Macaca fascicularis: one gene and its partners. Each later gene encodes a partner of the first gene's protein in a complex. Links are inferred from orthologs where the notes say so. Each region holds a gene or a part of one and is shown in the gene's direction. Other genes may lie near its edges.

Evidence for each region.
Region 2: the proteins of RHOA (region 1) and ARHGEF28 are in contact, whole or in part, in a crystal structure (PDB 6BC0), measured with the Homo sapiens proteins. The link is inferred for Macaca fascicularis from reciprocal best matches to the Homo sapiens genes RHOA and ARHGEF28. Residues at the interface, in NP_001300870.1 of Homo sapiens: Arg5, Val38, Phe39, Glu40, Asn41, Tyr42, Val43, Glu54, Ala56, Trp58, Arg68, Leu69, Leu72; in NP_001171164.1 of Homo sapiens: Lys1140, Ile1142, Arg1144, Glu1145, Val1146, Ala1147, Asn1148, Glu1149, Phe1154, Ile1156, Ala1158, Ser1159, Ser1160, Pro1163, Glu1164, Met1165.
Region 3: the proteins of RHOA (region 1) and RAP1GDS1 are in contact, whole or in part, in a crystal structure (PDB 5ZHX), measured with the Homo sapiens proteins. The link is inferred for Macaca fascicularis from reciprocal best matches to the Homo sapiens genes RHOA and RAP1GDS1. Residues at the interface, in NP_001300870.1 of Homo sapiens: Ala3, Ile4, Arg5, Lys6, Asp13, Lys18, Lys51, Asp65, Tyr66, Asp67, Arg68, Leu69, Arg70, Pro71, Leu72, Ser73, Tyr74, Lys98, Trp99, Pro101, Glu102, His105, Phe106, Leu179, Cys190, Leu191; in NP_001093897.1 of Homo sapiens: Arg111, Tyr118, His121, Ser171, Glu200, Met201, Val204, Asn208, Glu211, Leu212, Glu213, Ala249, Glu253, Lys290, Thr291, Asp294, Leu295, Val297, Leu298, Leu301, Asp303, Leu334, Leu338, Ala341, Asn342, Ala344, Arg345, Asn346, Asp347, Cys350.
Region 4: the proteins of RHOA (region 1) and MYO9B are in contact, whole or in part, in a crystal structure (PDB 5HPY), measured with the Homo sapiens proteins. The link is inferred for Macaca fascicularis from reciprocal best matches to the Homo sapiens genes RHOA and MYO9B. Residues at the interface, in NP_001300870.1 of Homo sapiens: Asp13, Gly14, Ala15, Glu32, Tyr34, Val35, Pro36, Val38, Phe39, Gln63, Glu64, Asp65, Tyr66, Arg68, Leu69, Leu72, Asp90, Glu93, Asn94, Glu97; in NP_004136.2 of Homo sapiens: Glu1731, Gly1732, Arg1735, Lys1736, Ser1737, Gly1738, Ala1739, Ala1740, Arg1744, Lys1772, Gln1773, Arg1776, Arg1840, Met1841, Ala1845, Ile1848, Ile1849, Pro1852, Cys1853, Arg1856, Pro1863, Leu1864, Ser1866, Met1867, Val1870, Thr1874.
Region 5: the proteins of RHOA (region 1) and NET1 are in contact, whole or in part, in a crystal structure (PDB 4XH9), measured with the Homo sapiens proteins. The link is inferred for Macaca fascicularis from reciprocal best matches to the Homo sapiens genes RHOA and NET1. Residues at the interface, in NP_001300870.1 of Homo sapiens: Arg5, Lys7, Tyr34, Pro36, Thr37, Val38, Phe39, Glu40, Asn41, Tyr42, Val43, Asp45, Glu54, Trp58, Ala61, Gly62, Gln63, Tyr66, Asp67, Arg68, Leu69, Arg70, Leu72, Ser73, Pro75, Asp76, Pro96, Thr100, Pro101, Glu102; in NP_001040625.1 of Homo sapiens: Glu177, Ala178, Glu181, Gln270, Leu271, Lys274, Lys281, Gln291, Leu294, Glu295, Arg300, Lys301, Leu302, Asp303, Trp305, Ser306, Asp309, Arg312, Ser313, Arg314, Val316, Lys317, Leu320, Leu321, Glu324, Gln347, Leu350, Ser351, Ile353, Asn354.
Region 6: the proteins of RHOA (region 1) and ARHGEF12 are in contact, whole or in part, in a crystal structure (PDB 1X86), measured with the Homo sapiens proteins. The link is inferred for Macaca fascicularis from reciprocal best matches to the Homo sapiens genes RHOA and ARHGEF12. Residues at the interface, in NP_001300870.1 of Homo sapiens: Arg5, Lys7, Thr19, Lys27, Val33, Tyr34, Pro36, Thr37, Val38, Phe39, Glu40, Asn41, Val43, Asp45, Glu54, Trp58, Asp59, Ala61, Gly62, Gln63, Tyr66, Asp67, Arg68, Leu69, Leu72, Ser73, Asp76, Glu97; in NP_056128.1 of Homo sapiens: Pro766, Asn768, Gln770, Glu790, Val791, Glu794, Thr798, Ala801, Cys888, Gln891, Pro892, Lys899, Arg922, Arg923, Leu924, Gln925, Lys927, Asp928, Pro931, Thr932, Met934, Gln935, Thr938, Lys939, Leu942, Leu943, Asn946, Arg968, Leu971, Asn972.
Region 7: the proteins of RHOA (region 1) and ARHGEF25 are in contact, whole or in part, in a crystal structure (PDB 2RGN), measured with the Homo sapiens proteins. The link is inferred for Macaca fascicularis from reciprocal best matches to the Homo sapiens genes RHOA and ARHGEF25. Residues at the interface, in NP_001300870.1 of Homo sapiens: Arg5, Tyr34, Pro36, Thr37, Val38, Glu40, Asn41, Val43, Asp45, Glu54, Trp58, Asp59, Ala61, Gly62, Gln63, Asp65, Tyr66, Asp67, Arg68, Leu69, Leu72, Pro75, Asp76; in NP_891992.3 of Homo sapiens: Tyr163, Val164, Glu167, Thr171, Met174, Tyr175, Asp178, Cys253, Lys256, Pro257, Glu260, Ser264, Arg275, Arg281, Leu282, Asn285, Asp286, Ile289, Lys290, Val292, Gln293, Arg294, Met296, Lys297, Gln299, Leu300, Leu301, Cys327, Pro330, Lys331.

Annotation. Positions count from the first base shown.
Region 1 is NC_088376.1:112,362,189-112,365,688, reverse strand, and holds part of RHOA (transforming protein RhoA), read left to right. Parts: intron 1-2,780; coding exon 2,781-2,911; intron 2,912-3,500. UniProt on the Homo sapiens protein: Small GTPase which cycles between an active GTP-bound and an inactive GDP-bound state.
Region 2 is NC_088380.1:77,614,683-77,618,815, forward strand, and holds the start of ARHGEF28 (rho guanine nucleotide exchange factor 28), read left to right. Parts: upstream 1-1,333; 5' UTR 1,334-1,485; intron 1,486-4,133. UniProt on the Homo sapiens protein: Functions as a RHOA-specific guanine nucleotide exchange factor regulating signaling pathways downstream of integrins and growth factor receptors. Functions in axonal branching, synapse formation and dendritic morphogenesis.
Region 3 is NC_088379.1:103,859,576-103,863,539, forward strand, and holds the start of RAP1GDS1 (rap1 GTPase-GDP dissociation stimulator 1), read left to right. Parts: upstream 1-1,164; 5' UTR 1,165-1,346; coding exon 1,347-1,350; intron 1,351-3,964. UniProt on the Homo sapiens protein: Acts as a GEF (guanine nucleotide exchange factor) for the Rho family of small GTP-binding proteins (G proteins) that stimulates the dissociation of GDP to enable subsequent binding of GTP.
Region 4 is NC_088393.1:17,518,526-17,522,025, forward strand, and holds part of MYO9B (unconventional myosin-IXb), read left to right. Parts: intron 1-214; coding exon 215-351; intron 352-560; coding exon 561-751; intron 752-1,855; coding exon 1,856-1,954; intron 1,955-2,059; coding exon 2,060-2,233; intron 2,234-2,717; coding exon 2,718-2,759; exon of another isoform or gene 2,760-2,880; intron 2,881-3,027; coding exon 3,028-3,139; intron 3,140-3,500. UniProt on the Homo sapiens protein: Myosins are actin-based motor molecules with ATPase activity. Unconventional myosins serve in intracellular movements. Binds actin with high affinity both in the absence and presence of ATP and its mechanochemical activity is inhibited by calcium ions.
Region 5 is NC_088383.1:6,384,015-6,387,514, forward strand, and holds part of NET1 (neuroepithelial cell-transforming gene 1 protein), read left to right. Parts: intron 1-2,156; coding exon 2,157-2,264; intron 2,265-2,669; coding exon 2,670-2,837; intron 2,838-3,218; coding exon 3,219-3,281; intron 3,282-3,500. UniProt on the Homo sapiens protein: Acts as a guanine nucleotide exchange factor (GEF) for RhoA GTPase. May be involved in activation of the SAPK/JNK pathway Stimulates genotoxic stress-induced RHOB activity in breast cancer cells leading to their cell death.
Region 6 is NC_088388.1:119,346,223-119,349,722, forward strand, and holds part of ARHGEF12 (rho guanine nucleotide exchange factor 12), read left to right. Parts: intron 1-23; coding exon 24-110; intron 111-248; coding exon 249-328; intron 329-956; coding exon 957-1,190; intron 1,191-2,742; coding exon 2,743-3,213; intron 3,214-3,500. UniProt on the Homo sapiens protein: May play a role in the regulation of RhoA GTPase by guanine nucleotide-binding alpha-12 (GNA12) and alpha-13 (GNA13). Acts as guanine nucleotide exchange factor (GEF) for RhoA GTPase and may act as GTPase-activating protein (GAP) for GNA12 and GNA13.
Region 7 is NC_088385.1:64,427,346-64,429,664, forward strand, and holds the end of ARHGEF25 (rho guanine nucleotide exchange factor 25), read left to right. Parts: exon of another isoform or gene 1-88; coding exon 89-289; intron 290-411; coding exon 412-592; intron 593-859; coding exon 860-1,071; intron 1,072-1,355; coding exon 1,356-1,466; coding exon of another isoform or gene 1,467-1,473; 3' UTR 1,474-1,819; downstream 1,820-2,319. UniProt on the Homo sapiens protein: May play a role in actin cytoskeleton reorganization in different tissues since its activation induces formation of actin stress fibers. It works as a guanine nucleotide exchange factor for Rho family of small GTPases.

The DNA of each region.
Region 1 (3,500 bases):
GTGTGGGCCTTGGGTCCCTTTCAGCCTAGGTTTCCCATGGCTACTTTATTTAAAATGTATCCACCTAGGCAGGGCACGGTGGCTCACACCTATAATCCCTGCACTTTGGGAGGCCCAGACGGGTAGATCACCTGAGGGTCAGGAGTTCGAGAACAGCCTGGCCAACATGGCAAAACCCTGTCTTTACTGAAAGTTAAAAAAAATTAGCCAGGCATGGTGGCACACACCTGTAGTCCCAGGTGCTTGGAGGCTGAGGCAGGAGAATGGTTTGAACCTTGTAGGTGGAGATTGCAGTGAACCGAGATTATGGCACTGCATTCCAGACTAAGCAACAGAGCAAGACTCCATCTCAAAAATAATATTATTACTAAATAATATTAAATGTTATTTTAAAATGTAACTGCCTTGTAAACTAGATGAGTAAACTAGATGAATTCCAAATACAAAGATGAATAAACTAAGGCCAGGCGCGATGGCTGATGCCTATAATCCTAGCACTTTGGGAGGCTGAGGCTGGCAGATCACTTGAGGTCAGGAGTTCTAGACCAGCCTAGGCAACATGGTAAACCCCTGTCTCTACTAAAATACAATAACTAGCTGGGTGTGGTAGTGTGCGCCTGTAATCCCAGCTGCTCCAGGGGCTGAGGCGGGAGAATCACTTGAGCCTGGGAAGCGGAAGTTGCAGTGAGCTAAGATAGGGCCACCGCACTCCAGACTATCTCCCAAAAAAAAAAAAAAAAAAAAAAAAAAAGTATACCAGATGAGTTCCAAATGTAAAGCCATCTCTTTTGGGGAAAGACTTTTTTTCTTTTTTTTGGTTGCCCTGGCTTAGCCTTTTTCTGGAGTGTCTTAACTAACTGATAGAAGCTTGAATGTGATCATTTCATTAGCCTAAACACAGCCACATAATTCAGAAGTCAGTATTCTTTTTTTTTTTTTCTTCTTTTTTTGAGAGGGAGTCTTGCTTTGTCGCCCAGGCTGGAGGGCAGTGGCACGATCTTGGCTCACTGCAACCTCCACCTCCCTGGTTCAAGGAATTCCCCTGCCTCAGCCTCCCAGTAGCTGGGATTACAGGAACGCACCGCCATGCGCGGTTAGTTTTTTTGTTTTGTTTTGTTTTGTTTGAGACGGAGTTTCGCTCTTGTTGCCCAGGCTGGAGTGCAGTGGCACGATCTCGGCTCACCACAACCTCTGCCTCCCAGGTTCAAGCGATTCTCCAGCCTCAGCCTCCTGAGTAGCTGGGATTGTAGGCATGCAAGACACCAAGTCCGGTTAATTCTGTATTTTTAGAAGAGATGGGGTTTCTCCATGTTGGTCATGCTGGTCTCCAACTCCCGACCTCAAGTGGTCCGCCTGCCCTGGCCTCCCAAAGTGCTGGGATTACAGGCGTGAGGCACCGCGCCCAGCAATTTTTTTGTATTTTTAATAGAGATGGGGTTTCACCATGTTGGCCAGACTGGTCTCGAACTCCTGACCTCAGGCAATCTGCCCGCCTGAGAGTAAACTCAGTATTTGTATGTTTTTGTAGAGATGGGGTTCTTGATTTTTTTGAGACAGAGTCTCACTCTGTTGCCCAGGCTGTAGTGAGTATAGTGGCAAGATCTCGACTCACCACAACCTCCACCTCCTGGGTTCAAATGATTCTCCTGCCTCAGCCTCCCGAGTAACTGAGACTACAGGTGCGTGCCACCGCGCCTGGCTAATTTTTGTAGTTTTAGTAGAGATGAGGTTTTGCCATGTTGGCCAGGCTGATCTCGAACTCCTGACCTCTGGTGATCCACCCACCTCAGCCTCCCAAAGTGCTGGGCTTACAGACGTGAGCCACTGTGCTGGCCGGAGATGGGGTTTAGCCATGTTGCACAGGCTGTTCTTGAGCTCCTAGGCCCAAGCTGTCTACTTGCCTTAGCCTCTCAAAAGTGCTGGGATTACAAGTGCGAGTCACCACACCCAGCCTCGTTTGGTTATTTTCAAAAGTCATTCTTTTTTTTTTTTGAGATGGAGTCTTGCTCTGCCACCCAGTAGTGCAGTGGCGCGATCTCGGCTCACTGCAAACTCTGCCTCCCGGGTTCATGGCATTCTCCTGCCTCAGCCTCCCGAGTAGCTGGGACTACAGGCACCCACCACCACGCCCAGCTAATTTTTTGTGTTTTTAGTAGACATGGGGTTTCACCGTGTTAGCCAGGATGGTCTTGATCTCCTGACCTCGTGATCTGCCTGCCTCGGCGTCCCAAAGTGCTGGGATTGCAGGCGTGAGCCACTGCGCCTGGCCAAAAGTCACTCTTGAGCCATTTGAAATACCAGTAAACCTATAGGGTAGAAGTTATGCTGAGAGTCCATGAACAAGTTAGAAAAGGAGCATATAGACCCTGGGTCAGCTGCTGCCCTAGAATGGGCACCCCTTCTGTAAGCTATGTCAGAATCATCTACCAGCAGTAACGGATGTCCTGTAAAGTGCCTGCCTTTGTGGGGCAGGAAGTACCCCCGTGAAGCTACCTTGTGTTGTGGATCTTTTGCTCCTCCAGAGCCCTTCCTTGGGCCCCACCTACAGAGATGCTCAGCACCATTCTTGGCTATACTGAGAAAAAGCTGGTGGTTCTCTGTTTAAAGGAAAGGGATTATATTTGCCCTTTTTTATGGTTTTGAAACTAGTGGGTTTCATTAAATGTCTAGCATTCTTCTGAAGCCACAAAGAAAGTGTCTCTGAATTTCACTGAGGTTCTTGGAAAGTCTTCAAGATAGAATTGTATGTATCCCCAAATTCTCTACATTTTTTTTTTCAGAAAACATCCCAGAAAAGTGGACCCCGGAAGTCAAGCATTTCTGTCCCAACGTGCCCATCATCCTGGTTGGGAATAAGAAGGATCTTCGGAATGATGAGCACACAAGGCGGGAGCTAGCCAAGATGAAGCAGGCATGATCTGGGGCAGGACTGTCTTGTATTATTCTTGAACTATGGCCCCAAGGTTGGAGGTTTGGGGAGCCCAGCAGAAACCTTCACAGGCCAGGTTGTTTTAGAGGCTCAGAAGCCCCTCTCTGGCCCTCTGACCCTCATTTATTGAGATCTTCACAGAAGATCCCTAAAATAGTTCACTAGTTCTGTGAGATGGAATGTTTTTTATGAGGTAGTGCTATGCCCGTAAGGACTGCTGGCCTGGGAATGAACCATTTCATCAGTAGCAAGTAGTCAGTGGCTTTAGATGTAGGAACTTTCTTTTTTTTGATATGGAGTCTCATTCTGTCACCCAGGCTGGAGTGCATTGGTGCAATCTCAGCTCACTGCAACCTCCGCGTCCGGGGTTCAAGCGATTCTTCTGCCTCAGACTCCCGAGTAGCTGGGACTTACAGGCGCCCTCCACCATGCCTGGCTAGTTTTGTTTGTTTGTTTGTTTGTTTGTTTGAAGTAGAGATGGGGTTTCACCATGTTGGCCAGGCTGGTCTTGAACTCCTGACCTCAAGTGATCTGCCTGTTTTTGCCTTCCAAAGTGCAGGGATTACATGTG
Region 2 (4,133 bases), on another chromosome or scaffold:
TTTTTTTTTTTTGTGGCAGCGCCTGAGGCCAGGCCTTGAATTCACAGCTCTGTGGGGCTGAGCGGTGGAATCAGCTGGGATGACAGCCCAGGTCAGCAGCGTAATGCCAACGTTGGGGCCCTTTTCCCAAGGAGGAATTGTAGACTTTGCCTTGGAACAGGGCTAAGGCCATTCAGACACACGATGGTCTTCTCTTACTAATCTCAGCCTTTCTCAGCATTCCTATCAGCAAGGTGGGCTGGGGAAGGTGGCGGCTGGAAGGGAGACAGAAAAGGCCCAGGCCCAAGAGAAGTGGTGGCAGCCTGGGAACTGGGCTCCTTTCTGGCTTGGTATCTTGGTGGCCAGCTTCCTCGGGCCACACCTTTGTTATGGTTCTGTGGGTAGCCAGTCTTAAAAGGAAAAACAAAGCAGAGACTCAAGGTGATTTTATAAATTTTATTAGAAACTTTATATTTCAATACTAATTTCCTTACAAATAGTCTTAACTACAACACTTCCTGCCACAGAAGACTCAGATCGGTAATTGTACCTTTAAAGCTGTAACAATGGTCTTAAGTCTGTATGATGAAAGCCTGACTGATGAAGAGGCTTGGCTTCTGCTCTTGGGGTTGTCATCACATCTAAGAGGAAAACCGCTTTGGAGGATAAGGGAGTCCCCTTCACATTGCTGTTCATTGTAAAAGTGGTTATGGTTTTCATACGTTTTTGAATTAAGACTTGCAGCCACTTGCGTGGATAAACGCGAAGGGAATCGCAGCTTGCAAAGCTCGGCCGGGGAACATGAGCTTCAAATAGAGGGCAAATGCCGTTTTTAAAAATAATATTTCCTATTGTAATAGACCTGGGCCGTATTATGTCACGGGTGTGGTGGCTTTTGGCTGGGAACACCCTGAGCCTCCCTTGGGCCTGGCACAACTCCTTTTGCGAGCCGGCAGCCCAGCGCCTTCCTTGGGAGGCGCCGAGGCGTGGAGGCGCCCGGGGCGCAACTGGCCCTCCTGTGGCCCGGCAGGTCCGCGCCAGCCTCCGTGCCTCAGAGCTCCGGGCCGGGGGAGGGAAGCCGAGGCCACCGGCCGCCGCCCCGCAGCGGGAGGGGGCTGGCGGAGACAGCGCGGTCGGGGCAGCTTCAGGTTTCCTCCTGGAGCCGGTGTCGGGCGAGGCAGGCGGGCGGGCCTCGCCATGTGATGCGGCCGCCGCGAGCCGGGCCGGGAGGTGGGCAGGCGGGGATCCAGTGGCAGGGGGGAGGCGCGGGGGGGGCGGGGGCGTCACCCGCTGAGGGCGCAGCCAGCCCGGCCCGGGCGCGCGGCCGCAGCTCCACCCCCTAAAGCCTGGCTTCAGTCCTGCCGCCGCCAGGCGTTGGCATCGCCGGGTAGAGCCTTCCGGACTCCGGGCGGCGGCTGGCGGGGGGCGCGTTCCGAGGCGCCCTCGGGCAGGGCACGGGGGCAGCGCCTCGCCTGGGCTCTGGAGGCTGTGGGGCCATCGCTGCAGGTAAATGCTCTTTGGGGCTCCATGGTCTGCGTTTCCCTGCAGCTCTGGGTGGAAAAGTTTGCCCACCTGAGTTCGCATCCGCAGGGCCACTTTCTCCAGGGATGCGAGAGTCAGCAGAGGTGACCCGGGAGCTCTGCAGGCGTTGCGGCGCGAGGGCTGGGCGCCGCCTCTCGCTCTCCTGGGAGCGGCAACAAGTGGAGAGAGCGGTGCAGCCTCGTGCGGCGGCGGCGGCAGCTGCGGAGCGCGGGGTCGCTCGGGCGCACTGAGAGCTGGGGGCTGGGCGGATGAAAGCCCAGCCAGTGTCCTTCGGGAGCCAGGGAAATAAACAGCGCTCCTGCGGTGGAGAAGGGAGAGCGTCGAGAGTTGGTGTCCGTCCTTCCCATCCATGCTTCTGCTCCGGGGCGGAGGGTGCTTGGCAGGGCCAGGACCGCAGAATGCAGACGGAGCGCAAGCTCAGGACACACGCACTACCACTTACTCGTGTGGAAGCATTTGCTGTGTTTCAAAAGGCATTTATAGTTACCTTGGTTGGGAAAGGCGGTCAGAATTATGTGGGACTCCTTACGCTTATTTTATGCATTTGTTTCCCCTTAAATACCCGGGGTGTATGTGGTGGTGCCACAGCCTTCCCGTGCTTAGGGTTTCCGAATGACAGGCGGGTGTTTGGCCAAGAAGGCACCATTTGGGTCGAGGGCTGTATGGAAACTGGGTGCTCAGGCGGCCCTGGAAACCCAGCTCTGGTTTCCCAGAGACCAGTTAGATTTCTAAGAAAGAATCCATCTCTAGAGGCCCACAGCGTCCCCGCATTGGTTGACTGGGTGGGCCGAGAAACAGTGGTAACATCTGTGTTTGAGCAGCTTCTCCCGCCTAGACCCCGGCCTGCGTCTCCACAAATCTCCCCACACCAGGAGTTGTAGAGGTTCACCACGGACCACACCAATTGGGCAAAATACCAAAGAAAGTAAGGTCTTTAATATTCGTTTATAAAGAACTGATCATTTGGGATTCCATGGGGACCCTGGCTTTCTGAAGCGTTGTTATCTCGTGTTCCTAAGCCCTGAAGCTGTCAGGGGTAAGTGAAATCCTGTTTTCGCTGCAAAAACAAATCAAGGACCTGCCCTTGTTAGGTTCTGTGGCATCTACTTTGTACATGACAATCCAAGCAGAGTGGTAACTTCTGGGAAACCTGGGAAGGTTTCTCCAGATCTGTCCTGGGTTTTTAGTTACACATTCTTAAAGCACATGGGTATTTGCCTAATCTTGATTAATAGTCCAAAGTAACCCCTTTGGAATATTTGGAGAAAAGAGATGAATCTGCAAAACCCTTTGGAATTTTTAATACAACATAGTATTTCAATGTAATGTCTGATGTGGACTTTGTATGTGATTATTGTGCTGATTAACTTTGATCAAATAGGAATTTGGCTAGCATCAGATATTATAGCTAATGGTTAGGGAAACTGAGGCACAGAGCTAGCTATAGTGTGACTCAGATGAATGTCTTGGGTAAGGGGAGAATGGTGAACAGAGAATCAGTGTTTGTTCTGCTTTTGACTGTTTCTTTTTTTTTTCCTTATCAAAACCACACAATCTGGCCAGCTAAGAACAGGTTGTATAACAGGCGTGTCATTAGACTTTCCTCTGAAGTACCCAATTGTTTTTTAAGCAGTTTATAAACGCTTAAACATACAGAAGAAAATAGTAGTTAATAACTAAGTTTCTATGAGATGTCTCAGGAGACTCACTTGGGTGGGTTTCATGCTTTTTTTTTTTTTAATCATGTTTGGAATCTTTTCTTATTGTGTTATAAGAAACTGCACTTGTGGCTAAGACTTAAATTGGGCAGGAATTTCAGGTGAGCTCTGATACATGACCTCCTTTAGTATGCCCTGTGAGAAAAGACTATGTGTTCTAAGTAGGTATTGAAACAAATTGCAGCACATACTATTACTTTTATATTAAACATTCTGTACACCACTATATTGGTACCCAAGCTCCAACAAGTCCTGCCAGTTTATGACCAAGGGCTGAATTCCAAGAAAAAAAGATTCATGATATAAATGTTGGAAAAGCCTCAAAAAAAATTCATGATATAAATGTTGGAAAAGTCACCTAAATTACCTAGGCTGACTATAATTTTTATTATGCTTTTATTCACTAATCAGATATGACAGATCTGGTTTGGGTGGGTTTTGTGTAATTGCATTTGTATTTATGTTGCTTTTAGTGAAGCAGAGTAGCTCTGGGATTCCCCCCTGCCCCTGGCCCCCACCCAGAACCTTAAATATTTGTTATGAAGAGGTGGGTCAACCTGGGCAACTCCTACTGAGGATGTAAAAACAGTGTTACATTTGAAGTGCACCAAATTCAGGGAATTCTGCCATGCTAAAGTTGTGCTGTAAATATGCCACCCTGTCCAGCTTGAGTCCACATCTCTTACTTAGGCAAAGCGGGGCTTTGAGATATTTTTCTTGCTTAAGAAGTGTAGGTCAGGTCCTGTATCACAGAACATTTTGCTCTGATTGGATGACACTCTATCATTTTGTCCAGTCTCTGTGACCCTTAGTTCTTTTGTTATTATCATGGTATTGGAAGTTCTCAGAAGCCCAAAACAGTGTCACTCTACTGTTTTGCCATTTTGACAATCT
Region 3 (3,964 bases), on another chromosome or scaffold:
CCCTCTCCCCTGAAGGACTGCGGTCGCTGCGCCTCGGAGAGCGACCAGATTCCGCACCCCACCCAGGAGGAGCCAGGGCAAGATTAGGGTTTCCTCCAGCCTCCTCCCACAGGGCAGACGACCGAAGCCAGCCCCGGCCTCACGCGCATGCCAGGTCGGGAGGACGCCCTCAGTGGGAGCGCCCTGCTCAGGTTCTCCCCGCGGCCGAGTGGTGGTGGGAACGGGCGGCGGCCCCGGGATCACAGGACCTCCGCCGGGTTAGCTTGGCTGTGCCGCCGCCAACCCAGCAGGACGCCTATTTTCAAGCCTGGGGAACGTAGTTCCTCCCGCTTTCACAGAGAGCAGGATGGAGCCCGACGGCACCCCGGTTAAAGGGCCTTTCCAGCGCCCTCCGGGGAACGGAAGGCCGCGCTCCTCCGGGAGGGAGAACGACACACTCTTCAAGGAAATCCTGGGGCGGGCGCTCTCCTGGCTGCCGGGACCTCTGTTTCTAAGCTGGCTACTGCTACAGCAGCCTTAACTGTCCCAATGACACGCCTGCTATAGAGCACCCTCCCGGCGGCCGCTCCTCGGCCAGCTGCCCAGCGGGCGTCCTCAGGTGTCCCCAAGAGGCGCAGGCCTAGTCGCCTACACGTCCTTTCCAGCTTCGTGTCGAGGCGTCAGCTTTGGCTTCCCACCACCCCTCCCGGCTCTGCGGCGGCTCAGCCTCTTCTCCGGTTAATTCTGGCCTGTGCGGCCGGGTCGTCCCGTAAAGAAGGCGGGCCCGGGTTCCGGGTAGGGGGTTGGTGGGTCAGGGTGGGAAAGCAAGGCAGCGGTAAGTCCTCTGCTAGCAGATCGGGCTCAACAGCCCCATTCCCTGCTTTCTCCGGGCCCACCCTCCGCCCCTCAGACGGCCGCCATGAAGATCCTCTGCCGCGGCTGCAGCCGGTCTGCGAACACACGCCCACCCGCACGCTTAGCCTCGCTCGCCACAGAGGGAGGGGTGGAAAAGGCACTGAGCATGCTCGGTGGGGAGGGCGGGGCGCTCGCGGGCCGCGAGTCGGAGCCGGCGTTCTTCAGGCCGGCTACCGCGCCTCCGCCGCCCGCCCGCTCGGAGCCGCGCCCGCCGCAGGCTGCGCCCGCCAGCCCCGCCCCGCCCCGCCCCGCCCCTCCCCGCCCCCCGCCGCTCGTCCCCGCCGCGGCCGCGCCGCCTGCAGCAGCACCAGCTGCTCCTCCCCGGCGGCCGCCCCCCGCGGGTCCCTCCCTGGCTGCGGGAGAGACGGAGGTAGAGGGAGGACACAGAGCCGCGCCGCCCGCACCGGAGACCTTCTCCTCGCCCCGCCGGTTCCTCACCCTCGGGGAGCAACATGGGTAAGTCATCCTTCCTCCCCCGTCATCGCCTGACATTTTTTTCTTTCTCGGCGTGCTGCAGGGTGGAAAGCATTTCTCGCGCAAAGTTGCCGGATTTCTCCAGTCCCCCGGTGTGAGACTGGCTGTTCCTCCGGGGAGAGTCAGCGCACGCGGAACGCACGCCGGGTGCCGGGGCTGGGAGGGTCCCGAGCGCGGGCTGGGGTGGGGTCGGCCGCGGGCCGGACCGCCGCCCGGCTCCCCGGCACCTCGCCGTCTCGCCTCCCCTCCTCCATTCTTCCTGCCGGTGCCCGGGCACCACGGAGCCTGCCTCGCGGGCTCGCATCCGCGTCTCCATCCCCGTTTCTCCCGAGGCCGCCCGCTTCCTTTTCCCCCGCGTCTGCTGAGCTCGAGGCTCGGGTCCGACCACGACCACTTAATGTAACTTCCTTCTCTGTCAGTGCGACCTTTCCTGGTCGTGGAGACTCCTCATCCCGGGCGGGGAAGTGGAAGCAAGTAGTTTGTGAGGGAGATCTTACAACCTGCACGGAAATTATTTTCCAAGGGGGAGAGCGGACAGCCCCATAGGTTGAAAGGATGACTTGTCAGAGGCCACGAGGAACGTGAGGAAGGATAGAGCAGCTCGCTGTAGAATTAATGCTGGGTGACTACAGTGTGCAATATTCCTGTACTCAGCCTATTTTTTGGATTCCTTCGTCTGTCTTCTGTAGCAGGAAACTGCGCCCTGTAACGTTGTTACCGAACTTACATGGTAGTTATTCTTTCCCAGCTTCCCCCTGTCTAATCTACATAATCTGATTTTACTTCTTTTGTATTTATAGTTAATCTGAAGATACTGGTTTGGATGAGATATTTAAGAGCAAATATGTTTTATAAAACGATATATAAATTTAACCTAATTTTTTTACATCATCTATTGCTTAACTGTTACATTCAGTAATCACAGAAACGTCTGATGAATGCTGTCGTGTAATTAAGAGCTCAAAGTTTCTTTTAATAGTAGCGACTTGTACTAAGTTCCCCAGTTTGCTGCCACTCCTGTCTGTCATAATTTCCTCTTTTTAAAATTTGCTCCCTTGGCATCTGTCAACTGGGACTTTTCCCACCCCTTCTGTGCGAGTTATTTAAAGATTGAGATGAATGTGATCCTTTCATCTGTTAATACAGTGCTCAACACGTTCAAAGTTAGGTTGCGCAACTCAGAATCTTCAAGAAGTATCTAAACCTGGGAATGGTGTCCATAGAGTTTTCTGGAACAGCAAATACTTCAGGCTTTGATCGCGACCTTTGGCCATATATCTGGAAGAGGCCAGGGTTGATGGAGGAGGTGGTATGAATCAAAAAAGGTCTACGGCTCTGAATTTTATTTTCAGTTAAGTGTTTTTTTTTTTTTTTTTTTTTTAATGTGAGTACTCTTGATATGCTGAACAAATTTCTGTAAAAATTGGGTGGGCCGTTTATGCGTGTCTACCCTTTCTCTTAAAGTAGAATTTTAAATAGGTATTATATCAGATTATTGGACAAGCTGTGTATTTCCGTCGAACATACACACGTTTATGTATGTTTCCTTTGAACGTACATACACAGATAAATGTGTGTACGTTCAAAGAAAATACTCAGTATGTCCAATAACCCTATCTGATATTGGACTGTAAGTTCAAGTTTGGCTTGAAAAATACATTTTCCTATGTTTCCAGGTGAGCCTCAAACCATTTAACATTTTAACTTACATGTTAAATCCGTACTTTTTCAGTGGAAAAAATCCAATTTCGTTACAACACTAGTGAATAAAAATACCTGAAAGAGATGAAATTATCTACTTAAATATCATCTTCAAAATCTTGAATGCTATTGCTTGATTTTTAAAAAGGGCCAAATAGAAACCTATCTCTCATTTTGAAGCCATCTCTGATACTCTTTGGTTAATCTCTCTCTCTTCATAAGCACTGTTTGTACCTTGTTAGAAGCTTTTTAGCACTTATATAATCTACCATATTATGGAGTTGTTTATGTGTGTGTGCTGTGCATTTAATCATGAGTCCCAGAAGATGAAAAATGTCCTATTATTTTTTGTGTTCCCCACACTGCTTTTCAAATAGGAATTCAGTAAATCTTTGGCAAATTGTTGAACTTAAAACCACCTATTATTTTCAGCTTTTGCATCTGAAGATTTAGTCTCTGAACAAACATTTGGATTGGCACATAGTACCTAGTTGGGGGATAAGCAGAAACAGAAAGGTATAATTGTACCATGCTTCCCAGTACACTGTAGGTAGGTTTTGAGTCAACCTCAGGCAATGGTAAGGCAGTTTCATGTATGATCAGTAGGTACATACGATAATTTAAAATTGAAACCTTGGGTAACAGTTTTATATCTGAGCCAAGGAAGTTAGTATTACAATTCATGTACACATAAGAAGGTAGAAGGTATACTGGTTAATGATGGGGGGAGGGAGAAGTGCTTTTTAATTTGTCTCAAGAAATAAATAAGGTTGATTTTTAAAGATGTGCTCGGCTGGGCGCGCACTTTGGGAGGCCGAGGCGGGTGGATCACCTGAGGTCAGGAGTTGGAGACCAGCCTGACTAACATGGTGAAACCCTGTCTCTACTAAAAATA
Region 4 (3,500 bases), on another chromosome or scaffold:
ACCATGTTAGCCAGGATGGTCTCGATCTCCTGACTTCGTGATCCACCCGCCTCGGCCTCCCAAAGTACTGGGATTACAGGCTTGAGCCACCGCGCCCGGCCCAGATCCTTTTTTGAGTCAGGCAATGATAGAGCATTTGCCATGTGTCCAATCACAGGGAGGCTGGGCCTCATGTCCATTCTCACTTCAGACTTAAGCCATGTACTTTCTCCAGCAGATCCACGTTTAAGAGGCTATTTCTGCATAAAACCAAGGATAAAAAATACAGCCTGGAGGGCGTGGAGGAGTTGGAGAATGCTGTGTCCGGGCATGTGGTGCTGGAAACTGCCACCATGAAGAAGGGCCTGGAAGGTTGGTCACCTGCAGCCTCAGGGACAGCAGAGCCACCAGTGTCCCTGGGGACATTCATTGTCCCCAAATGGGGCCTTGAGTTGGCTGTGGGCCAAACCCTAGGCACAAAGCCAGGGGTTTCTGGCCCTGGATAAAGGCATGCCGTAGGAGGTCCTCTGCATCCTTCCCCCAAACCCACCCTCACCAGCTGCTTCCTGTCCCATCCTCAGCCCCCTCCGGACACCAGCACCGCCACGCCGCAGGTGAGAAGCGCACCAAGGAGCCAGGAGGCAAAGGGAAGAAGAACCGAAACGTCAAGATTGGGAAGATCACGGTGTCAGAGAAGTGGCGGGAATCGGTATTCCGCCAGATCACCAATGCCAATGAGCTCAAGTACCTGGACGAGTTCCTGCTCAACAAGGTGGGACCACTAGGGGAGAGCCAGGGGCATGAGGCCCGGTCCGCAGGGGAACCATCACAGCCAGGCAGTGCTTTCTGAAACACACACCACAGGGCTTAGCAGGTCAAGAATACAAAGCGCAGGCTCAGGCCGGGGACAGCGGTTCATGTTTGTCATCCCAGCACCCTGGGAGGCTGAGGCAGAAGAATCACTTGGGCCCAGCAGTTCAAAACCAGCCTGGGCAACAGAAAGACCCCATCTCTACAAAAGGTTTAGATTTTAGCTGGTGTGGTGGTACACACCTGTAGTCCCAGCTTCTGGGGGCTGAGGCAGGAAGATCGCTTGAGCCCAAGAGGTTGAGGCACCACGAGCCATGATCGCAGCACTGCACTCCAGCCTGGGCGACAGAGCAGACCCTGGCTCAAAAATAATAATGATGCATATTTGGTCTCAAAGCAAAGATTGATGAAGCACCGTGTGCAACGGAAGTGGAGGCGAGCAAGCTGTGGCTGCCTTCAGGAGGGTTATACCCCATGGGGGTGGGGGTTGGGCCATCCTGCAGCAGATAGAGCTACGTTTGGGAGCTGCACAGCGGCCACAGGGGGTCGATGGGGACACAGAAGGATCAGGAAACCCTGCTAGGAGTAGAGGCATCTCGAAATGACCAGACCATTCCAGACATCCCGGTCCTAAGGTATGGCTGGGTGTTGAACCCTTGTGTGGGGCAGCAGGAAGGCCCTGAACTGACCTGTAGCTCTCATCTAGGGGGGATTCTGCCCTCCAGGGAACACTGGCAATGTCTGGGGACATTGGGGTTATCACAACCTGGAGGGAGGGCGCTGCTGGCCTCTGGTGGGTAGAGGCCAGGGATGCTGCTTAACCTGCTGTGGCGCACAGGGCAGGCCCCACTGTGGAGAGTAGTCCTGCCGTGAATATCAGTGGCTTTATAACTCTGACATTTATAACTCTGAGAGGAGAGATCAGGCTTGGCCAGAGGGACTGGATTTTATCCCAAGAGCCTAGGGGATGACTTAAGAGAGGATACAAGTGACCCGTTGGGCACCTCCTCGGGTACGCAGGTCCCCAGGCCTGAGGCACGCAGGGTCAGCTCCTCTCCCCTTCCAGATAAATGACCTCCGTTCCCAGAAGACGCCCATCGAGAGCTTGTTTATCGAAGCCACCGAGAAGTTCAGGAGCAACATCAAAACGATGTACTCTGTCCCGGTATGTGGCGGCCCGGCCTTCAGCCTTTCCCATACCCTGCTCAGACCCGTCATTCCCATCCGCCCCTTGCCCGGGCCTGCGGGGTGACGCCTAGCATTCCCACAGAACGGGAAGATCCACGTGGGCTACAAGGATCTGATGGAGAACTACCAGATCGTCGTCAGCAACCTGGCCACTGAGCGCGGCGAGAAGGACACCAACCTGGTCCTCAACCTCTTCCAGTCACTGCTAGATGAGTTCACCCGTGGCTACACCAAGAATGACTTCGAGCCAGTGAAGGTGGGCAGCCCAGCACGCCACGCCCACCCATGCCTTGCCATGATCACTTACACCAAGCCCACCTGACATGCCACGCCCACCCATGCCCTGCCCATACCACGCCCACCATGCCATGCCATGATCGCTTACACCATGCTTACCTGTGCCTTGCCATGATCACTTATGCCACACCCACCTGACATGCCACGCCCACCCATGCCACGCCTATGACATGCAACATGCTATGCCTACCCATCGCTTGCCATGATTACATGCCACACCCATTTGTGCTACGCCTACCTCCTGGTGGGGAGTCCTGCACCCTCCCCAACAGGGCCTCACTTCTGGGCGTGGGGTGTCTGAATGGGGGGTGTTAGGGACAATGATGCCACTCCAGGTGAGGGAGGGTTCAGGGTACCCAGATTCCTGGGTTATGGGGTGCCAGGGGTGGGTTGGGTCACTTCCCAGGGGGCCCCCGTCGACCTCCTCCTTGTGTTCCTCACAGCAGAGCAAAGCTCAGAAGAAGAAGCGGAAGCAGGAGCGCGCTGTGAGTAGGCTGCACGTGGATGACAGTCCCAGCAGGCGAACGTTGGCAGGAGCGTGCACGTGTGTGTCAGTGTCAGTGTGTGCATGGGCCCGTCTGCACACGTATGTGTGCGTGGATACGTGTGAGTGTGTTTTCTCCCCAGCACATACGGAGCCGTAGTCTTGAATAAGCAGACCCACCCCTGAGATCCCGTGGGCCATCATCCACCAGTGGCTGGGGAGGGCTGCCTTCCCCTTCCCCCGCCCAGCGCCCTTCTCTGGCCTCACAGGTCCAGGAGCACAACGGGCACGTGTTCGCCAGCTACCAGGTTAGCATCCCGCAGTCGTGCGAGCAGTGCCTCTCCTATATCTGGCTCATGGACAAGGCCCTGCTCTGCAGCGGTGAGTGGCTCCCCACCCAGGCCCCAAACCCCTCCACGTCCCCCACCACCCCTCACTGCTCAAGAGGGCTTCAGGGCCAGGCAGAATGGCTCACACCTGTAATCCCAGCACTTTGGGAGGCCGAGGCAGGGGGATAGCGAGGTCAGGAGTTCGAGACCAGCCTGGCCAAGATGGTGAAACCTCATCTCTACTAAAAATACAAAAATTATCTGGGCACGGTGGTGGGCACCTGTAATCCCAGATACTCAGGAGGCTGAGGCAGGAGAATCACTTGAACCTGGGAGGCAAAGGTTGCAGTGAGCCGGGATCACGCCACTGCACTCTAACCTGGCCAGCAGAGCAAGACTCAGTCTCAAAAACC
Region 5 (3,500 bases), on another chromosome or scaffold:
TATAAAGATAAGAAATTTTTATCGTTAATTTGATTTTATGTGATAAAATAGATATCAAAAATGTATTTCCTGCTAACTAAATTTTCCATTCATATTCATTGGGAAAAGCACCTTTGCAAAGACTTTTAAGTTGAAATTAAATATTGTATTTTCTGGGAAGTCAAATTTGTTATGCATGAAACAAGGAAGAAGAGTTAACCTCTGTTCCCAAAAAGCAGAACAGAACTTTCTGACAACTGCTTTGTTCCAGTGAAATGTCGGCATTTCTGACTCTGTGAGGTAATTCTATCTTCAGTCCAACAGGAGACTCTTTGTGCTGTCTTTACTAAATGGAAAGGAATGCCTGTGCTGGCCCCTGCACACGCGTGTGTCAGTCAGTCAGCACAGATGTACGTGGGGGAGGCATCCACACATGTCCTCAGAAGCACGGCGTGTGCCATCTTACTACATATCGCGAAGGTTTCTTTTGCAGTTCATTTATATTCAAAGTTTTACTTTGGAGTTGATTATTTGATATGAGGGGTTGATCTACAACTCTGCCTCTTAAAGCCTTCAAATTTCTAAATTCTCTTTGATTACCAAGTTTCCTTGGTAGTTCACATTCCTTTCTGATACATTTAGGAGCTTTAATGAGTCTAATTCTTTCTTTGGATATTCAAATTTTTTACATTTCTTTCCAAATAATGTTAACTTTTCCTGTCAGTTTATTCTTAAATTATTAATTTAAAAAAAAAATTTTTTTTACCCAAACCAAAAATGGTCAATATAGTCTTCAGTTATTTAAAGGCATTATTTTTACTCATTTTCTATACCCCTTCCTTTTTATATTACTTTAGTCATGTCAAAGAATTTTTAGAAAAAGTTGCTTCTTCTGTTATTTTTAAATGATGTCTTACTTTTCAGTGATAATTTTAATATAATTTAAAATTATATATCCTCCTGGATTCTCATCAAAATTATTTTGTCAAGTATGCCACAATTGTCAGAGGCACAAAATACAAATAGTTGTGCTCCATAGACATTATAAAGAATAGACCTGCTAGTTTTATGATCTGGCATTCTTCATTTCAGTAACCGTGTGAGTTACCTACTGGTATGCCTCCATTTTTCTAGCGATAAAATCAGAATAATGCAATTTTTATTAAGTTTCAAAATCTTTGAATAAGTGATGTGTTTGCTATATTATTATTTAAAAGCAATAACATGTAGAATCATAACTATTTCTTCTCAATTTGTGTATACCTTTCCTTTAAGTTAATAAATTACTGAGAGAGGATCTAATTATTTATGAATCCCAGTGTTTATGTAGTAAGTGGATCTAATTATTTACGAATCTCAGTGTTTATGTAGTAAATGGAAATATTCCTAAAATATGTTAGTAATGGCTCAAACTTAATATGTGCCGCACTGTTTCAAGCCCTATTATTCATTTAATCTTCACAACAACTTCATAAGAGAAGTGCTGGTATTAGCCCCATTTTACAGATGAGAAAACTGATGCCGAGTATGCCCTAGCAAGTGGTAGAGCCGGGATTTGTGCCCAGTCAGATTTCAGAGCCTGGGTGCTCTTTTAACTCCTCCCTGCCTTGGCTTCACTCTTTTTCAGCCCATTCCAGTGTCAGACATGTTTATTGAAAGGTCATATTTTCTAACGAAAGTGGTTAAGTGGTTAAGAATGAAATGGTATAATGTCTGAGATTTGCTTTAAAATATTTAAGTAGGGACAAAAATGAAACAAATTGTTATACCAGACACTGTGGAGGGCGCTTGATAGACACATGGGATCCATTATGCCATTCTCCACTTTCATGTATGTTCGAAAATTTTCATAACAATAAGACTTTTTAAAAAAAAAAAAGTTATTCTCCACATTAAAAAGTTCTATTGGATTTTAGGATGTAATTTCCTTGTTTGAATTTTAATTTTTCCCCAATGGAAATATTTGGCCTTTCTTATGCACTTATTATTTTTTGAAAAGTTACTGCTACTCAATAGCGTTCTTATTGTTTTGACAATGAAGAACAACTCTTATTTTCATGTTTCTGTATTTTATAATGTATAAAAATTGTTTTGTGAGAGGGCTTTACTTTGTCCAAGTTTCTATGAAATCATTGCCCCTAAACATACATTTAGTGTCATCTGGTTTGTTTTTATAGGAGCCAAGCAATAAAAGAGTTCGACCTCTGGCTCGTGTCACCTCCCTGGCAAGTTTAATCTCTCCTGTAAGAAATGGAGCTGTCAGACGTTTCGGTCAAACAATACAGGTAAAAAGAGAGAAGGAAGAGTCATGTAGTCAGGGGACTTTATAGAAGCCTGGAATTTGTAGTTTTCCTTGAGCTGTACAAACAGGTTTGCATTATTATACTTAAACATAGTTTTCTTTTTGGAATATACTACTAAGGAATATTGTTGCAGAACAATGTGTAACCTCGTTATATTAATTTGCATCTTATATCAATGCATAGTCTTGGCTAGTTTTTATTCCCAAAAACGTAATTTTAGCTGATAAATATTTAAGATTGGTAGGTGGAAACTTGGATAAATTACTGTTTTCTGCATTGAGAAATTCTCAGAACTTTGTCTTTCTTCACTTTAAAAAAAAAGAAAATGGGAATAATTCTGTTCTTCCTAATCTTATTTTCTCTTTTGTTCACCTTTTCTTTTTTAAGTCATTTACCCTTCGTGGTGACCACAGATCCCCAGCCTCTGCCCAGAAGTTTTCTAGCAGGTCAACAGTCCCAACCCCCGCCAAGAGAAGGAGCAGTGCATTGTGGTCAGAGATGCTAGACATCACCACGAAGGAGTCGCTCACCACCAGAGAAATCAAACGGCAGGAGGTATGCTGGCACTCAGCACCAAGACTGTATTTATTGGCCTGCACTTTAAAAAGACCTGTTTTTTAAATACGTGTTTTCCCAAAAGAACAGCAAATTGATACCGATGGCAAAATTAACTTGGATTTTTGTGTTTGAGCAACAATTCCTAATACATGGTGAACAAAACCTAATGATGGATGATGGTCAAATTAAACAACTCTAATAGGGTAAAATTACCAAACATATGGCAACCTTTTATTTGAGATTCCATTCTGAATTACAATTTTCAGACTGAGTTTGGTTTTTAAGTGCCGTTCAAAACATCAAATAATGTGATTATCAGTTGTATATAATTTTCCTTTCTCGAAGGAATGACCTCTGATGTTTGCTGGATGTTTTTAGGCAATATATGAAATGTCCCGAGGTGAACAGGATTTAATTGAGGATCTCAAACTTGCAAGAAAGGTCAGTAAATAACTTTTTATCAGATGCCCTAGTTTTTAAAAATTAAATTTCACAAAATCTAAAGGATAGTTTTCTTAACCTTTAGAAGTAGAAAAATAGAAAATATCTACTGGTGAATACATTTTTTTAGATGGGGTCTAGACATAGCCTCAAATACAAGTATTAGTAAGAGAGTTTATTTGGGGATTAATACATACTAATTTGTTTTATGTATAGCAA
Region 6 (3,500 bases), on another chromosome or scaffold:
GATTTCTTTCCAACTTTCTGAAGCTGGCAGGACCTAATCTGTCGGATGGCTGCATCAGTGAAGGAGCAATCCACAAAGCCAATTCCATTACCCCAGTCAACACCTGGCGAGTGAGTGTTCCTTTGCATTGTATGTTTTTTTTTATGTTTTGGGTTGGAAAAGACTAGGATAATTATTACATTTTGTTGCAATGATGTTTAGGTACCTCAGGAAGCTAAAAGATTGTTGTTGTTTTTTTTCCTTTACAGAGGAGATAATGATGAAGAAGATCCTTCAAAATTAAAAGAGGAACAGCATGGCATTTCAGTCACTGGTTTGCAGAGTCCAGGTACACTTTTCTGACAAGTTCAAGGGAGAATGTGCTCTATTATCTGTTAAAATGCTGGCCAGGTGCGGTGGCTCAAACCTGTAATCCCAGCACTTTGGGAGGTCAAGATAGGCCAATCACCTGAGGTCAGGAGTTAGAGGCCAACCTGACCAACATGACGAAACCCTGTCTCTAATACAAAAATTAGCCGGGCATGGTGGTGGGTGCCTGTAATCCCAGCTACTTGAGAGGCTGAGGCAGGGAGAATTGCTTGAACCCAGGAAGCAAAGGTTGCAGTGAGCCAAGATCGTGCCATTGCACTACAGCCTGGGCAACTAAGACCAAAATGCCAAAAAAGAAAAAAAAAAAAAAAAGAAAGAAATAAATGAAATAAAATAAAATAAAATGCAAAGAAACTTTAATACTGTTTGATTTATGCAGGTTCCAGCATCAGAGATTCAGTTTAACAAACTTTGCTTTTGAGCCTTCTGCGTGTCAGTATAACACTGCGCTATGTGCTGTGTATTTTGCTTAACAGATGATCTCTGTAGTTTATGGAGTTGTTTTTCTGATTCTTGCCTGAATGCTTCATGTTAAAAGTTAAAAGCTTTGTTTAGCTGTAGTCTACCTTTTCTATTCCATTGGACAGACAGAGATTTGGGATTAGAAGCTACCTTAATATCATCAAAACCTCAGTCTCATTCACTGAGTACTTCTGGGAAATCAGAGGTACGTGATCTCTTTGTGGCTGAGAGACAGTTTGCAAAGGAACAACATACAGATGGGACACTAAAGGAAGTTGGAGAAGATTATCAAATCACAATCCCAGATTCACACCTGCCTGTCTCAGAAGAACGATGGGCATTGGATGCACTAAGAAATTGTAAGTTTTATTCATAACTTACTACAGATACTTATTAAGTATGGCACTGATGTGCCATCCTTAAAGTATGTGGATTTATCAAACTCCACTTATTCTTCTGGTTTTATTGTGGAGATTATAGTATTCTCTACAATGGCCCATGCCACAGACACACACACACGCCACTCTGTTAGCTCCCCACCCCCCAGCCTGGTTCAGAATCACTGTTACAATGGGAGGATAGCGTATCTCTCAGTTGTACTGAGGTGGGAAAAAGACTGAGAACAATTTCTCTGGCTGGGGAGAACCATTTGAAATTTCTAAACCAGCATATGACTAAAGGTATGAAACAAGATTAATCTGGCTGAGAGCTGTGGAAGGATTTGAATGGAAACAGGTATGGAATGATGTACTTACTAAATAAACTATTGTAATAGTCTGGCCTGAGACTAAAAGAGTTTGGACTGGAATGTTATCAAAAGGAATAAGAAGGAAGTGAGAAGTCATCAAGTGCTTAAAACAATTGACTTGTTTGGATGTGAGGTCAAAGGAAAGGGAATATTTAGAGATAATTTCATTAATCTTGTCAGAAATAAGAGTCAGAAAAGGACTACCACTGCTTCCCCCACCTCCTTCCATTGTACTTTCTTTATTTTTTTTGATTTGGTAGAATTATAGGCTCAGTTTTAAAGCATGTCAAGATTAAGATAATGAGTGACAAAACATTAAAGAGTGAGTAACTAGCAGGAAGTTAGAGTTTTAGGAGTCAAACTTTAGAGAGAGGTTAGGAAGAGATAGAGATGTGAGCATCAGAGCCATGAGACTTCCTAGCATCTCTCAGGAAGTGATTGTAGAGCAGAAGGACAGGATCAGAGACCTGAGGGGAACTTGTTGCCTGAAGAAACGTGACAGACATTAAGCTAGTGATGAGAGCAGAGAATTGGTTATTTAAAACTACATTATTTTTTATACATTCTCCTGAATTAACAGTCTTAATGATTTCTGATGGTTTGACTAATATTGTCCCAGTAACTCTATCATTGTCTGGGTGACCTCATAGCATACACTTGGCCCATTCAAAATTAAATTGGTTCTTATTTTTAGTATATGTATGTATCTCATGAAATTAGAGGAAATAATATGCATATAGTGTCTGGATCTGGAAAAAGCAGAACTTTTAGCTTTTTCTGTCTAGCTTAACACAGCCTTTCAACATTCTTAAGAAGTACCTTTAGGGTATTATTCTAGTTATATAGAAGAAAAAATAGAGGCATGATATTGGTTATTCAGGAGTTCTAAATAGGAGTACCTCCCTATTCAGAATGCTTAGATCTTTTCAAGTATAGTTTAACGGTAAATCTTCTCTAAAAGATGGTGCTTTATTTCATCTTCAAAATAAAATGGAAAATGATTGTATGAAATAAAATGATTGTATGAAATTAATTAACATTTTAATATGTCATTAAAAGATACTTTTAAAGATAATTGATAATTCAGCTAATTTAATTCTTGCAGCCTGAGGTTATAGTTGTGAATATGCTTTTTTTTCCCGCCTCCTTCCTAAATCGTTTAGTGGGTTTGTTGAAGCAGTTGCTGGTGCAGCAGCTCGGTTTGACTGAGAAGAGCGCTCAGGAAGACTGGCAACATTTCCCAAGATATAGGACAGCCTCTCAGGGGCCGCAGGCAGACAGTGTCATCCAGAACTCTGAAAATATTAAGGCCTATCATTCTGGTGAAGGACATATGCCCTTTAGAACTGGAACTGGTGACATTGCAACTTGTTACAGTCCTCGGACTTCAACTGAATCTTCCGCTCCACGGGATTCAGTGGGACTGGCACCCCAGGATAGCCAGGCAAGTAACATTTTAGTAATGGACCACATGATTATGACCCCAGAGATGCCTACCATGGAGCCAGAAGGGGGTCTTGATGACAGTGGAGAGCACTTTTTTGATGCCCGTGAAGCACATAGTGATGAGAATCCATCAGAAGGTGATGGAGCAGTTAACAAGGAAGAGAAGGATGTTAATTTACGCATCTCAGGCAAGTATCTTTCACACTTACACTTTGATTTTGATTTCGATCATTGCTAACTGTGCTGTATGTTGAAATGGGTGTTGTGTTGGTTTCGAGGTGTGTGTGTGTTTATGTGTGTGTGTTCACACAAGTGCAGTATTTATTCCTTCATTTGATAAATACTGAATCTACTCTGTACCAGACCTCATCATAGGTGCAGGGAGATATAGCAGTGAATAAAACACAGAAAAATCCCCTCTTCTCATGAAGCTAGAGGAAAGAAGCATGGTAAATAAGTAAACAAATAAATAGAC
Region 7 (2,319 bases), on another chromosome or scaffold:
GGTTGAGCATGTCAGGCGAGGAAGGGAGGAGCAGAGAATTGCCCTTTTTCTTGTTCTTTTTCCAAGGCCACTATCCCTTTCGTTTCAGGGCAAACTGACTGCTCAGGGGAAGCTCTTGGGCCAGGACACTTTCTGGGTCATCGAGCCTGAGGCTGGGGGGCTGCTGTCTTCTCGAGGTCGAGAGAGGCGCGTGTTCCTCTTTGAGCAAATCATCATCTTCAGTGAAGCCTTGGGAGGAGGAGTGAGAGGTGGAACACAGCCTGGATATGTATACAAGAGCAGCATTAAGGTGAGAAGGGGGCCACGAGAGAGGGCTTGGACAGAGAAGGCATGAGGCCTCTGAGAGGATGTCTCAGAGGAGCCAGAGAGGGTCTGAGGAATCTGGGGGCTGTCTCCTATCTGCCAATTCAGGTGAGCTGCCTGGGACTGGAGGGGAACCTCCAAGGTGACCCTTGCCGCTTTGCACTGACCTCCAGAGGGCCAGAGGGTGGGATCCAGCGCTATGTCCTGCAGGCTGCAGACCCTGCTATCAGTCAGGCCTGGATCAAGCATGTGGCTCAGATCTTGGAAAGCCAACGGGACTTCCTCAACGGTGAAGCTTTCATCCTTTCTCCCTGATGGGCTCCGTCAGCCCCTTGACCTCCTGAATCCCTCCCTCACTGCCCAGTCTCCAGTACCTACCCTCTGACCATGGCCCATCCCCTTTTCTACTGCTAGCTCAAAATTTGATAGAATCCCCTAAAACCCCAAGCAATTTACATTGGCTGACAGGGAGGGAGGGCAAAGTAGGAGAATGATACAGGCCCTAGGGAAGAGACCTGTCTCTGCAGTAACCCTCCTGTTCCTCTCTTTGCTCCAGCATTGCAGTCACCCATTGAGTACCAGAGACGGGAGAGCCAGACCAACAGCCTGGGGCGGCCAGGAGGGCCTGGAGTGGGGAGCCCTGGGAGAATTCGGCTTGGAGATCAGGCCCAGGGCAGCACTCACACACCCATCAATGGCTCTCTCCCCTCCCTGCTGCTGTCACCCAAAGAGGAGGTGGCCAGAGCCCCCTTGCCCCTGGATAAACAGGTATGATGAAGAGAGCTCCCTCATTGTAGGCATAAAAAGGGGAGAGCCTCTCTTGTTTTGGGACCCCAAGCTCGCTCCCCATATCATTCCTTTTTTCTGGTCCTTCCTACTTCCCATCCCTTACCCTTCTCCCCTCTATTTTAACTCTGGAGAAGCTGATAGTCTCAGACAGTCTAAGATATCTGGCAAGAGGAGGTGGCTTGGCTAGGGACTTAAACTGAAAAGAGAGAAGTGAGGGTAGATTTCTGGCCTTTTTAATCCTCTGACTTGAATCTTTTCTTCAGGCCCTCAGTGACATCCCTCAGGCTCCCCATGACTCTCCTCCAGTCTCTCCAACTCCAAACACCCCTCCCTGCCAAGCCAGACTTGCCAAGCTGGATGAAGATGAGCTGTAACTGGTGAAAACCATGGGGGTGGTGCTGACTCAGCTGCCTATTCCCCAAGAAGCTTCAGGGCAGTCCTTCTGGCACTGCTCCAGAATTCTTCCTTCTTGGTGTGTCTGGAGGAAGGGTGGGCAAGGCTGGGAGGGATATCAACTTGGAGGAGAGCACCTAGACCCAAGGACTTTTTTCTGCCCAAGGAACACAGTTTCCTTCAGCTCCCACCCCTATGCATGCATCATGGTTCCCCCAAAAGGAGGACATGTGGGTGGGTGGGAGGGCTGGGGCAAGGGCCAGATAGAAATTATTGGTTTCGTTTTTTAATTTTGTTTTTCCTGTTTTCTGAGAATAAAGGTTTTGTTATATCACTGAGGCTGCTGTCTTGGCAGAGGGAAGGGGAGGCCGTAGTCGGGGTAGGTGGGGTGAAGTGATATGGAAGAGACCAGTTGGCCCCAGCCATTGGAGGAGGGGGTCTGGTGAAAGGAGAAGGGGACAGGGTGTAAGATAAAAGATGTTGCTATCTTTATCCCTCAACTGCAGTTGCAGCAGTTGAGGGACAAAGACTGAGGCATGGAACCACTGGAAAGCCCTAGATTCTTCTTCTTCTTCTTTTTTTTTTTTTTTTGTAGAGTTAGGGTCTCATTATGTTGCCCAGGCTGGTCTTGAACTCCTGGGCTCAAGTGGTCCACCTGTCTTGCCCTCCCAAAGTGCTGGGATTACAGCCATGAGCCATTGCACCTGGCCAGCCCTAGATTCTTGATGTATCATCTTTACCCAGCCCTTCTTTTTCCCTACCCACCCTCTTGTCTAGACCCCACCAGAAAGCCCAATGCAGTGTGACTTCTCACCGTTCCCCCAACACCCAGAT